Macaca fascicularis: one gene and its partners. The protein of the gene in region 1 purifies or fractionates together with the protein of each later gene. This does not show direct contact. Links are inferred from orthologs where the notes say so. Each region holds a gene or a part of one and is shown in the gene's direction. Other genes may lie near its edges.

Region 1 (4,056 bases):
TGGAGTAGAGCCATAACCAGATGGCAAATGCCCCCAGGGCTGTGCCAGGGTGATGTCATGCCTGGGGAGGGGGAGGGCCTCTCGGAAGCCCTGGCCTCCTGGTCCTGGCACCTAAGCCCAGGCCTGGGGCTCCCAGCCAGCCGGAGGCAGGGAGGCATTGCATCAGCGCAGGGGAGGAGGAAGGCCCAGCCTGGCTCCCGGCCGTGGGTATGGGAGACGGGGGTGCTCATGAGGGCCTCTCCTCTGGGCTGTGTGACCCACACCCTCAGCAGGAGACTCCTGTGACCTCTGAGCCTGCCCCTGCCTGGGTCCAGCACCTGCCGCACTGGCCAGCCACCTCAACCCCACCTTTACCGGCATCATAGCAGCGTCCTCGGCTGGGTCAGGCCCTAATTAGCGTGAGGAGGAATGTGGGCGTAGGTGTGGGCTGTAAATGTGTGGCAGCACCCCCTCCCCCACCGCGGCCAGAGCAGGTGCGCTGCCAGAGGCTTGCTGGCTGGGCTGAGGCTCGGGTCTGAGCTGGGTGTGACTGATCCTCAGCAGTAGATGGGGTGCCCTAGGTGGACAGGGCACCCTAGGCAGACGGGGAGGCCTAGGTGTTCTCTCAACCCACCTGACGGGCCTCCTCCTACAGGGGGCTTCGCCACCTTCTCCTCCTGCTTCCCCGGCCTCTGTGAGGGCAAGCCTGCTGCCCTGCTACCCATGAGCCTCTCCCAGCCCTGCCTGCCTGTGCCCAGCGTGGGCCTGACCCGCATCCTGCCTCACCTCTACCTGGGCTCGCAGAAAGACGTCCTGAACAAGGTGTGTGTGCAGTGGACTTGGGGGGCGGTCAATGGGAAAGGGGCAGGAGCTCCAGAGGCAGCTTGGCAGCAGCGTGGGGGATGAGGGAGGAAAGGAGCTGAAGGCAGTGGATGAGCTGGGTGTGGGAGAAGCATGGGTGGGGGCCCAGGAGGACCACAGGTTCCCCACCCCTGCCCCCGGCAGGACCACAGCAGGGCTTGGGGGAGGGCCCAGCAGGGCTTGGGGGAGGAGCGGGAAGCTGGCATGCCAAGCTTCGGATGTCACTGGGCCCCTGTCCAACTCTGAAAGAATCCCGTGTTTTAAACATGGTGACGAGGGAAAAGGGTAAAAGCCACCACCCAGGCAACCATAAAATTCCTAGGAGCCCACCACCGGCCATGGGTGGGGCCTGCAGATGGAGGCCAGCCATGCCCCCACCCCCCGCACAGGCCCAGGGTGCCAGGGTGGACCAGAGAGGCCTCCTGGGCCCACCCCTGGATACACTGGGATCCGGGACAGGTTCCAAGGCTCCCAGGACCACCCCAGGATTCTGAAGGCCCTCCTGACGGCAGGGCAGGAAAAGCCTCCGCCTTCACTCCCGCCCCCAGCTTCTCCCACCCCTTTCCAACCCGTCCTCCCGCCCCTCCAGGATCTGATGACGCAGAATGGAATAAGCTACGTCCTCAATGCCAGCAACTCCTGCCCCAAGCCTGACTTCATCTGCGAGAGCCGCTTCATGAGGGTCCCCATCAATGACAACTACTGTGAAAAACTGCTGCCCTGGCTGGACAAGTCCATCGAGTTCATCGGTGAGCCTGTGGCGGGCGGAGGGCGGGGGCCTGGCTAGAGGAAGGCTGGAGCTGGGCGTGGCCACAGGCACAGGAGGGGTCCCGGGGAAGTAGCCCGAACTGTTGGCAGTCGGGCAGGTGGGGTCCCCTCCCTGGGCCAGGGAGAAGCTGTGCAGGCTTAGCCCTCACCTGGCCCCCATGGCCCACCTGCCCAGATAAAGCCAAGCTCTCCAGCTGCCAAGTCATCGTCCACTGTCTGGCCGGCATCTCCCGTTCTGCCACCATCGCCATCGCCTACATCATGAAGACCATGGGCATGTCCTCCGACGACGCCTACAGGTACCGCCTTCCCCAGTCACGCGCTTGTGACTCACGGAGTCACCTGCCTTCCCTCGGCTGCCCAGTTGCACCAGAATGGCCCCACCGTCCAGGACCCCTGGCAAGGGAGGAGGGCCTGAGACCAGCCTGGCGCACATGAGCTCATGGGTGCCCAGCGGGTGACGTCAGGTGGGCAGCCCGGCCCTGGCGGGCGCCTGGGACTAAGCCTCTCCCCCCCCACCCCACGCAGGTTCGTGAAGGACAGGCGCCCATCCATCTCGCCCAACTTCAACTTCCTGGGCCAGCTGCTGGAGTACGAGCGCAGCCTGAAGCTGCTGGCCGCCCTGCAGAGCGACGCGGGCACCCCCTCAGGGACGCCGGAGCCCCCGCCCAGCCCTGCCGCCGGGGCCCCGCTGCCACGGCTGCCACCACCTACCTCAGAGAGCGCTGCCACCGGGAATGCGGCTGCCAGGGAGGGCGGCCTGAGCACGGGCGGGGAGCCCCCCGCGCCCCCCACGCCCCCCACGCCCCCGGCCACCAGCGCGCTGCAACAGGGCCTGCGGGGCCTGCACCTCTCCTCGGACCGCCTGCAGGACACCAACCGCCTCAAGCGCTCCTTCTCGCTGGACATCAAGTCGGCCTACGCCCCCAGCAGGCGGCCCGACGGCCCCGGGCCCCCCGACCCCGGCGAGGCCCCGAAACTCTGCAAGCTGGACAGCCCATCGGGGACCGCGCTGGGCCTGCCCTCGCCCAGCCCGGACAGCCCCGACGCCGCACCCGAGGCGCGCCCACGGCCCCGCCGGCGACCCCGGCCCCCCGCCGGCTCCCCCGCACGCTCCCCCGCGCACAGCCTCGGCCTGAACTTTGGCGACGCGGCCCGGCAGACTCCGCGGCACGGCCTCTCGGCCCTGTCGGCGCCCGGGCTGCCCGGTCCTGGCCAGCCAGCCGGCCCCGGCGCCTGGGCACCGCCGCTCGACTCCCCGGGCACGCCGTCGCCCGACGGGCCCTGGTGCTTCAGCCCCGAGGGCGCGCAGGGGGCGGGCGGGGTGCTGTTTGCGCCCTTCGGCCGGGTGGGCGCCCCGGGACCGGGCGGCGGCAGCAGCGACCTGCGGCGGCGGGAGGCAGCGAGGGCTGAGCCCCGGGACGCGCGGACCGGCTGGCCGGACGAGCCGGCCCCGGAGACGCAGTTCAAGCGCCGCAGCTGCCAGATGGAGTTCGAGGAGGGCATGGTGGAGGGGCGTGCGCGCGGCGAGGAGCTGGCCGCCCTGGGCAAGCAGGCGAGCTTCTCGGGCAGCGTGGAGGTCATCGAGGTGTCCTGACCCCTCCGCTGCCCTCGGCTCCGCCGCCCGCAGCCGGGCCCGTTATAAATATATATTATATATAATGCAAAGAAAGGTAAATGGTTTTACTGGGATTTTTATCGAGAAGTAAATATTTCGATTTTTTATTTATTTAAGCTGTTCATTCTGGCAATGATTTGGCAACAGTGCGGGTGGTCCTCGAGCTCTATTTTTACTGTCTGGTATTTAAACTGAAACACACGTTTCTAAGCAATACGAGGCCACCTTCAGTCGCAAGCTGGGTGCCAGGCCTGGGGCCCCTCCCAGTTCCCCCGCCCCGGGAAACCCTGCTGACCTTTGCAAAGGCTGCCGAGCTCTCGTGCACTTTTTACATAAGAAAAAGGTGAAAAAAAGGAAAAAAAAAAAAAAAAAAAAAAACTTCTTTGCCACAAACTGAGCCGCAGAACCTCCCTTCTTCCCCCACCCACCTCTCCTGCTCTCTCCCTTCTCTGCGCCAGCCTAGGGCTCTGCACCAAAGCCATAGGTTGGGGGAGCAGGAGCTGGTGTGCCCCGGAGCGGTGCGGCCAACCCTCCACCAGCTCCAGGCGCCAAATCTTGGTGGCAGGGAGGGCACCCCGCTGCCTGTTGCCCCAGAGCTGTTCCCTGGCAGGGGAGGACAGGCATTAGGCCCCATGGTGCCGGGGTGTTCAGAGAGGCTGAGGAATAGAACAGTGTGTAGGGGCTTGGGGCAGCGGGTTCTGGAGTGTCAGATGAGGTGGAGGCCAGGGGAGGACAGGGTGTTAGTGCCCCCAACTCCTGCCAGAGCCCCAGTCCAGCCACAGAGTGGCTCAGCAAGGCCATTAAGAGGGCTCCCTTCTCCCTTGCCCATG
Region 2 (4,506 bases), on another chromosome or scaffold:
TGCTTAATCTCATCACAGGACCTTCGCATGCAAAGTTCTCTCTAAAATATTCTCTGTCTAGTCAAACCTATTCCCAGCTCAAGGGACAGTTCCTCAGGGAAATCTTTTCTGGCCTTACTAACTAGTGTATTAGTTAGTTTCATAATATTATGTATCCTTAACAATTTGTATTATAATACAGTGATAATTTTGCATTTACTGTTATTACTTTCATAGTACAGTGATTAAATCTGTAAACTCTATTGTACTGCTAGGCACTGAATGGGCCTGCAATAAATAATTATTGCAGGAATAAAGGATGGAAGGAAGGAAATTAAGAAGGTTGAGAGGGAGGAAAAGAGGAAATGGGAAGAGAATGAATGAATAATCACCTGTATGTTCGCTTTTAGAATCACCAGAAAGAGGCCAGCCCCACATGTAATAGGAAAGTAGTCTACCTGAAATCATTCATTCATTCAACAAATATTTATATATTCTTTATTAAAGTAACTTACTTGTTTCCGATTGTGAACATAACTATTCCTCTTGGAAAACATGAGAAAATACCCAAAGTATAAAAGAGAACCAAGTCACCCTTTATTCCATAGTCCAATGACGAACCATTGCTAACATAATTTGGTGTATTTCTTTCCAGGTTTTTTCTATGTGTATATATAGTAACTAAGTGGGATCGTTCTATATATAAGACTTGTTTCTTGCTTCTTTCTCTTAATGATATATTGTTAACATTTTCCTGTGTTGTTAAGAATTCCTTGAACACATGGCGTTTAAATTGCTAAAATGTATTCTACTGCATGGATGTAGGTAACTTAAACGCCTTTCCACCTGTTGTTGGATATTTAAAGGCTTGTCAATTTATCGCTTCTGTAACATTTACACGTTTTGTGGGGCCTCAGAGGTAAACCAGGTAATGCAAGGAATCTGGGAAGAGGTGGATTTGCAAGGAATCTCGGAGGAAGTGGATTTTGGAAAAACTGGAGGAAGCTTTACCGGGGCAGCTGAAGAGAACACTTATCTCTCTGTAGGTTGCTGGGATCCGGACAGGTGTCCTCAGCATGGAACGTACTGTCGGTCAAGGTAACCAGCTCTTCATCACTCAGGTGTGTACCAGGAAGGGGTGTCTGTTCGCTGCGCAAGTTTGGCCTAAGCTCACCTGCCCTTCAAACCCTGTGGTGACGAGGCCCGAAGCCTTAAGCTCCGACCTGGCTACCGCCGCCAACCAGATGCAGTCCCCTGGGGCCACGCGCCGCCACGTGCCACCACAGGGCCCGCCCCTCCCGCTCCTGGCCACGCCCCTCACCCACTGCCCTCGGAGGCTCTCTCCGCGGCTCCGCCTCCAGGCGACCTCCGCAAGTTCTCTCAGCCCCGTGGAGTAGCCCCGCCCCCGGCCAGCGGCCCCGCCCCCGCAATCCGGGCCCCGGGGCTGCCCCGCCCCGCAGGCCACTCGGGAGGCGCGGGGGCGGCGCCCTGCGCGATGACGTGGGCGGGCGTGCGCGGTGACGGCCCGCGTCCCTGTTACTCAGCGGAGCGGCCGAGGCTGGACGACGCGGCTAGGATCGCGGAGCGGCGAGCAGACCTGGGTAACGGCCGCGGCGACCGCTCGGACCGCCCCTGTCCCCGCTGGCGGGCTTCCCTGTCGCCGTTCGCTGCGCTGCCGGGTGAGTGCGGCGGATGCCGCAGGGCCTGGGCGGCAGGCGGCCCCGTCGTGTTTATGTTATTGTGCCGCTGCCGCCGCCTTCTCCTCAGCCGTAACCCCCTCCCGGGAGTGGGGGCGGGAGCGCGCGGCGGGCGGGGGCGGCGCGGGAACAATAGCGGCGCAGAGGCGGGGGCCGGCCAAGGGGGCGTGGGGCTGCGGGACCTGGGCGCGCTCCGCTACCCGCCAGCCCGCCCGCCGCGGCGAGCCCCGCCCGCCTGTCCTCTCGCGTCCTCTTCGCGCGGGTCCTGCCTCCGCGGCGGGAGAAGAAAATAGCGGGGGGGTGGGTGGCAAGTTCTGAAACACTTCGGCAAGGGTCGGACAGAGGCGTCTCCGCGGCCCGCCGCACCCTGGCTGCCTCCGGGGCGGCGAGGAGCCGGGAAGAGGGCTTCTACCAGCGGGTCCCCAAGCCTGCCCCGCGCCCATGGGGACCGTATTTTGCTTCTCGGTGGTTTCTTTGTGCTCAGGTTCTGGGCGAAGGCAGGCAGCAGCGCTGAAAAGGGCCGGGATGGCCTGCAGCTCTGGGCTGCGAGGCACAGCCCAGGCCCGTGGTTCGGGTGGGAGGTGTCCATCCAGCTTGGCCCGAGCTTCGGTGGTCAGCGCACATTTCTCTTGAGGGTCACTCGGTGGTGACCTTTTGACTTTTTCACCCCACCCTCCCATCTCTTTGTCTCACATTTGTGTTCCGGATTCAGAGATGGTAGAACCAAGTCCATTTTAAAGTACCCTGATGAACACTTTCCGTTTTTATTTCTGAAAGTTCCCCGCCTGGTCTTTATTGCGAATTTAATAACATGTTAACTACATGGCATTGTCCAGTGATTACCGTTTTTACCTCTGAAATTCAGCGATCTGTCCAGTAGAATTCTGGTCCGTCAGTCCATTGTGTTTTGAGATAGGCATCCAGCAAATACCTCTTTGGCAATTAGAACATGTTTTTTCATTCATTCATTCATTCAACAACTGTTCGGTACCGTACCCAGATGAAGAGGTTTGGTTTGAAGGTAAAGGAAGGTATCCTTTCATGGAAGAGGATGCTTTGACTGAAGTATAATAGATGGACCTTTAAATGAGAGAATTACATAAGAGATGTCTGTTAAGGAAGGTATGGTTATGTTCTGGGTCATTTTTTAAGCAGTATATCTGGAAGTTCAAGTGTAATGTTAGGAAGTAGAATTAGATTTGGTCTAAATATACAACAGCTTTTGTTTATTTCTAAATTTTATTTTTTCCAGTCTTGCAGCCTTACAGTCATTTGTAATGGTTACCTCAGATTCCCCTGCTGTGGTTAACGTTAAACCTAGGAGGTCAGATGCTCTAAGTGAACATGTTTAGTGCTGTGCCTGACAAAAGCAAGCAATCAAAATGGGACTTCCTTGAGGGCAGGCCTGTCTTGCATCTGTTTCTCCACCACCTAGCCTGGAATATAGTAAGTGTTCAATAAAAGTCGGATTGATGAAAAGCTCTTTGTAATTGATAATATTTAAATTCAAGCCTTAAAAAAAACTGTAATGTTCTCCATAAAGTTTTGGAAGCTTCATGCAACTGTCGCTTCAGATGGCTAAATGATCAGTTCATGTACATTATCTGTTATGATGACATGGGCTTTTGAATCACGTGTAGGTCATTCACTGTCCTAAAATAAAATCTTGTCTAAATGTTTTTTTAATATGATTAATAAACTAAAGTAGGTTGTGGGGTGTGTGTTTCTGTGTATGTACTAGTTTATGTGTGTCTGTGTGTGTATGTACGTAATGCACACACAGGCACACATAAACTGGTATTTCAGTAGGGGTCTAAAATGATTGCATTTATAATTTTGTGAATATTATTTGAAAGGTTTTTGGTGACTCATTTTGTGAAAAATTGAGGACAAAGCCACATAAATGTTTTATTAGAAATATTTCTAATATTTTGGAAATGTTTACTTGAAATGTTTGGTTTTAAGTTCTAACTTGTGTTAACACATTGGTACAAAATATGATCCTAAAACTCAAAATAATTCATTTATCCAAGTTAAAGCTCTTTTCCACTCCCTGAACAGTTTAGCGTTTGTTTTGGATTTGAAAGAATACGAAAAGAGTGAACTAATTAATGAGCTTCTTATTATTTGGTGTAAAGTGGAAATGAAGAAATAAGAAAATGATACTTTTTTAAGATGAGGGATGAAAACCTTTGAGATACCAACGTTTTATTGCTTTACCTAGTTAAGGTATGTCAGCTTCTAGTAGGGGTTACTGACAATCCTTTGGCAGTAGCTCACAGTCAGCCTATGTAAAGAACCAGAGTTGTGTTATTTTGTTTTCCAAATTATTGGTTTTTAAAAATAGCTTTATTGAAATTTAATTGACATGAAATTCACCTGTTAGAGTGTATATATTTCAGTGGTTTTTAGTATATTCACAATGTTGTGCATTGATCACCATCACCAATTCCAGAACATTGTCATCACCCCAAGAAGAAACACCATATTCATTAGCAGTCACTCTGAATTTCACTTCAAATTATGCTTTAAAGTAAGAGATATAGCATCGATTCTGTTAGTAAATATATTCCTTTAATAAGTATGAAAAGGGCTCCTTTTAAGTGTCCTGTCCTGGCAGAATAGGAAACTATATCCTTCACACTCCTTTAGATCGGGGGAAATGCCATTTGGAAAGGAAGTTAGTGCAAGAATACATTGTACACAAATTAATGTGGTTAGAATCTTAAGTATTTGCTACATGCCTGATATTATCGAAGTGACCTTGGGAGGATGAGATGTTCAGTGAAACAACTTGAAGTAATTTGTTGTTAAATGACTAGTCCCCAAC
Region 3 (4,609 bases), on another chromosome or scaffold:
GCCGCGATGAGCCATGCTGAGATTTAGCAAACTCCCTCTGGTGGCCAAGGAGGACACCATGCTGCATCCGTTCCTCTACCCCACCCCTCCTCTGAGGCTCTGGTGCCTCCAAGCGGCCTGGCCCAGCCCTCAGTGCCCTTGGAATCTGGGTCACAGGCTAGCTGCCCTCCCCAAAGTCTGCAACCACCCTTCACACCACCCAGCCCCTTGCCCTCCCCATCTGCAGAGTCCTGTTCCTTCTCCCAACTCTGGCCCTGGCCACTCCGTGGATACTGGTATTGTGTTACTGCTGTTCTACCCCCCACTCACCATTTGTCAACCACTGTTCCCACTCTTCCAGTCCCCAAAGCCCGGCTCTCCGCGGTTTTCCCCATGTGCATAGCCTCGTGCCGCGCTTCCTGCTTCACTTTTCAACGTAGATCTGGCAACATCCCAAGTCCCGGCCTCTCCCATCCTGTACGACCCCCAGGCCGCTGGTACCTGATCCAGCCTCAAAAGCAACTCAAGAGTCAACGGGTCCCAGTCCCTAGGGGGCCCTGAGCAAGGGACTCCTCGCCCCGCCCCCCACCCCTCTCAGAGACTTGACTGAGCACCTCCCTTTTTTTTTTTTCTGAGACAGAGTCTCACTCTGTCGCCCAGGTTGGAGTGCAATGGTGCAATCTCGGCTCACTGCAACCTCCGCCTCTCGGGTTTAAGTGATTCTCCTACCTCAGCCTCCCGAGTAGCTAGGATTACAGGCGCCCGCAAACACGCCCAGCTAATTGTTTCGTATTTTTAATAGGGACAGATTTCACCTGGTTAGCCAGGCTGGTCTCGAACTCCTGACCTCAGGTGATCCACCCGCCTCGACCTCCCAAAGTGCTGGGATTACAGGCGTGAGCCACCGCGCCCTGCCGCACCTCCCAATTTTTAAATGTTGTCAACTAAGTCACCCCGCCACCAAGCGCACTCCCCTCCTGCGTCACCGACCCATCGGGTAACCTGTCTACACACGGCCATCTCTTCGCACCCCCTCCCCTTCTCCAACCCGACTTCTGGCCTCACCCACACCCCCACAGACCCGTTCCTGCGGCGCCGCAGCGAGCAACCGAGTACAAGGCCAGCCCCGCCTCCCGGGCCCTAGCACGCCGGGCTCCCGGACGCCAGGCCGGCCTCTCCCCGCGATCGCCCCGGGCTCTCCCCGAAACGGGCGGCCTCCCGTGCTGCTCCAGGCCGCCTCGCCGCCACGAGCCTGCACCTGTAGGCGAGGCCCGGCTCCCCGCGGACCCCGCGGTGTGAGCCCCGCGCGCCTCCAGCCCGGTTCCCGGTCCTCCGGGCCACCCTCTCCCCCGAGCTGCGGCCCCCTCGCGCGGACAGCGGGCTCAGCTGGTGGGACGCGCAGTGCCTGCGTCTCCAGCTCACCGCGTGCGCGGCGCGCACCCGAGCGCCATGGCCGGTCGGCCGACGCCACTGAAAGGCCCGGGGGCGTCGAACCCACGGAACCCGGGCCCAGGACCTCGGGCGCCCGACCCGGCCCCCGGCCCCGCCCACACCACCTCCAGCGGCCCGCCCCCCAGGCGCCATTGGCCGCGCCTGCTCCGCTCTCCGCGCGCTGATTGGTCGGCCCGAGGGTCGGTCAGACCGGGCGCCGCGGCGGCGGCAGCGGCAGAGAAGGGAGCGGGACCGGAAGGGTCGCAGCGCCCCGGCGCCCCTCACACCCACTGCGGCGGCGGCGGCGGCGGGGCGGAGCGGAGCGGGGCGGGCCGGTGGCGGAGCCGGGGCCGCGGAGCCAGGAGTGACTAGCACGCAGCGCCGCCAGTCCGCCCGCCCGCCCTCTCCCCGTGGCGCGGCGGCGGGGAGGCGAGGTGAGCCCGGCGGGCGGGCTAGGCCTGCCGGCGGCTGCTCGGGCCGGGCCCGCGGGGAGGGGCGGCGGGGGAACCGCGCGGCCGGGGTTTCGGGGTGGGCCGGGGGCTGCGGGGCCCTGGCAGCCGCAGCCGTCGCCCCTGTGCTCGGGGATGCCGCAGGCGCCCCCTTCCGCCCGGCTGTCAGCGGCTCCGGGCTGCGGGCCTGCTCCCCGGCCTGGCCCGGCCGACCTGCCCGTGGGGTCTGCGGGCGCCATCCCTCGCGGAGGTGGGGCGAACAGCTGCACTCCTGCGCCGGGGGCCCAGGGGCCCGGGGTCGCGTCCCCGCGACCTTGACCAAGGCACTGACCCTCGCTCTGCCGCGGTTTTGCCTTCAGGAAGGTGGGGAAATGCCTCTTCTGGACAGGGTTGTTGTCAGGCTGTGTGAGTGTATGCAGACGCCTGGGCAGGACGCCGGTGAACATTTGTGGAAGATTGGGCAGGGTGCTGGCCCTTGCCGGTGTGAGTGGTGTAGGAACCCCCTCCTCATCCGCCCAGCCTCCCGCCTCCCCACGCACGCCTCCCTTGCCTTGTCATTGCACACTCAGTGTCCAGCAGTGCCGGAGGGGACCCAGCCCACATCCCTTACCACCACACCCCTCTCCCAGAAGACTGCTGCCCCAGTCCACTCATCTCGCCCGCCTTGAACATGCCAGCCCGCATTTGCCCCAGGACCTTTGTATTTGCTGTTTCCTCGTCTTTGGAGTTGTCCGTGATCTTGGCACAAGTAGCTCTTTCTGCTCCTTCCTCTGGCCAGATGTCTCGGTTTGGGTGAGGCCCTCCTCGACCACCCTCTTTCTTCCCTTAGTCATGCTATTTCATTATTTTAAAAATTTCCTTCCTAGCTCTTACCTGGTTTGAAACGTTTCTATTTATTTGCCTGTTTATTTTCTGTCTCCCCGACTAGGATGTAACTTTGTGAAAACAGGTAGCTGTCTGATTTGTCCACTGCTTTATCCCCAGTACTTAGAAAGCACACAGTAAGTATTCAGTAGTATCAGCTCAATGAATGAATGAATGATCAAAGAAATGGCTCAGTCTCCCTGTTGTCTCTGCTTTATCTGTTAATTTAGTGACTTCTGATTAACGTGTGAAACTTGTAAGCAGATGGAAGCTTGTTCTATTTTGTGAAACATTTTGGTGTCCTTGACCCCTTTAATTGCTAACCGTTGGAACAAGCTGTGATGTAAAATCTCACATTTTTATAATGGTTTAGCTCTAGCTTTCTTCCACACATGCAGGAGACATTTACTGAATTCTGCATTATCTAGGTCATGCTTTCTGCTAGGCCCTAGGGACACAAGGCAGATAGCAACAGGGTCCCTTTCCGAAGAGAGCCCAGGAGCCCAGTAGAGAAGGCAGGCATGCAGACACTTAGTTCCAGGACTGTGCAACCCTTGCTGTCGTGGAGGGGCTATGCCATGGAAATGTGGAGGAGGTGACAGGTGATGCTGGGGGGCCTTGAGGGTGATGAGAAATTTGCTAGGCAGGGAGAGGCAGAGGTATGAAGGAGCAGGGCCAGGTAAGGACCATAGCCCACTGTGGAGTTGAGAATCAGTCTGGAGGGCCAGGTGTAAGGGCACAGAGTCGTGGGGACTCTGAAGAACTGGAACCTTACCTAGCAGTTTTCTAGAAGAAGGTGGAATTTGACTAGTGCCATGGCTCACGCCTGTAATCTCAGACACTTTGGGAGGCTGATGTGGGAGGATCACTTCAGGCCAGGAGTTCAAGACCAGCCTGGGCAACAGTGAGATCCCTGTCTCTACAAAAAATTTTTGAAAATTAGCTAGGTGTGGTGGCATCCACCTGTAGTCCTAGCTACTTGGGAGTCTGAGGTGGAAGGATCCCATGAGCCCAGGATTTTGAGCCTGCAGTGAGCTATGATCGCACCACTGTGCTCCAGCCTGGGTGACAGAGCAAGACCCTGTCTCTAAAACAGAAGGCAGCACTCCACATTTGTTCCGATTTTTAAATGTTGGCAATAGCTAATTAATTTTTTTTTTTTTTTTTTAAATGCTGTGAGCCAAGCCAAATACAGATTCATTCAGCTTGGTTGCAGATTGTCATCCTCCAGGAGTGGCTGTGTGGGAGGGAGGAGCTGTGAGGAGAGCAGGAAAGGTAGCCTAAGGCCAGGAGAGTCAGGCCCTGTTTGCCCAGGTGCCAGCCCAGATACTCATTTGATTGTAACTGGAGCCCTGTGGAAACGGAAGCTCAGGAGTTTGAGTAGTCTGCTTCTTAGCAAGCAGCTGGTGAGTGGAATCCGAACCCAGATCTCTCCCTAGATAAGGATTCTTTCCTGAGTCCCTCAGCTCTGAGTATTCTCTTTTGGCTTTTAACTTCTTCTGGAAGAATGACCACCAATCTATTTAATGTTTTCCTTGATTTAACTTTTAAATTTTTCTTCAAAAGGATCCTGCAGAGTTAAAAACAATACTATTTTTGCATAGACTTCTCTGGACAGCTTTGATTTTCCTGGTAATTTAATTTTCAGGGTGCCAGAACATTAATTTGTTCACAGACTAAAATCTGTTTATTTGGTTCCCTGAATAAACATTAGAGGGGATTCTTGAATGTGTCTAAGATAAAATATTTTTAATTTTCTGGATAAAGAAAAGGACCAGACAAACCAGTTAATAGTGACTAGACCAGTTTTCGTGAGACATAAAACAGAGACCAGATTTTTTTTCTTCTTAAGACTATTGATTTGCCAATAGGGCAACTATTTTTGG

What was found.
Region 2: the proteins of DUSP8 (region 1) and MAPK8 purify together in Homo sapiens (affinity purification with mass spectrometry; 3 studies listed by BioGRID and IntAct, counting the BioPlex papers as one, with this or other methods). This does not show direct contact. The link is inferred for Macaca fascicularis from reciprocal best matches to the Homo sapiens genes DUSP8 and MAPK8.
Region 3: the proteins of DUSP8 (region 1) and MAPK9 purify together in Homo sapiens (affinity purification with mass spectrometry; 4 studies listed by BioGRID and IntAct, with this or other methods). This does not show direct contact. The link is inferred for Macaca fascicularis from reciprocal best matches to the Homo sapiens genes DUSP8 and MAPK9.

The regions. Positions count from the first base shown.
Region 1 is NC_088388.1:1,476,588-1,480,643, reverse strand, and holds part of DUSP8 (dual specificity protein phosphatase 8), read left to right. Parts: intron 1-634; coding exon 635-801; intron 802-1,429; coding exon 1,430-1,589; intron 1,590-1,783; coding exon 1,784-1,907; intron 1,908-2,136; coding exon 2,137-3,205; 3' UTR 3,206-3,858; coding exon of another isoform or gene 3,859-3,897; 3' UTR 3,898-4,056. UniProt on the Homo sapiens protein: Has phosphatase activity with synthetic phosphatase substrates and negatively regulates mitogen-activated protein kinase activity, presumably by catalysing their dephosphorylation.
Region 2 is NC_088383.1:57,511,504-57,516,009, forward strand, and holds the start of MAPK8 (mitogen-activated protein kinase 8), read left to right. Parts: upstream 1-1,514; 5' UTR 1,515-1,658; intron 1,659-2,928; exon of another isoform or gene 2,929-3,122; intron 3,123-4,506. UniProt on the Homo sapiens protein: Serine/threonine-protein kinase involved in various processes such as cell proliferation, differentiation, migration, transformation and programmed cell death.
Region 3 is NC_088380.1:187,194,213-187,198,821, reverse strand, and holds the start of MAPK9 (mitogen-activated protein kinase 9), read left to right. Parts: upstream 1-1,617; 5' UTR 1,618-1,844; intron 1,845-4,609. UniProt on the Homo sapiens protein: Serine/threonine-protein kinase involved in various processes such as cell proliferation, differentiation, migration, transformation and programmed cell death.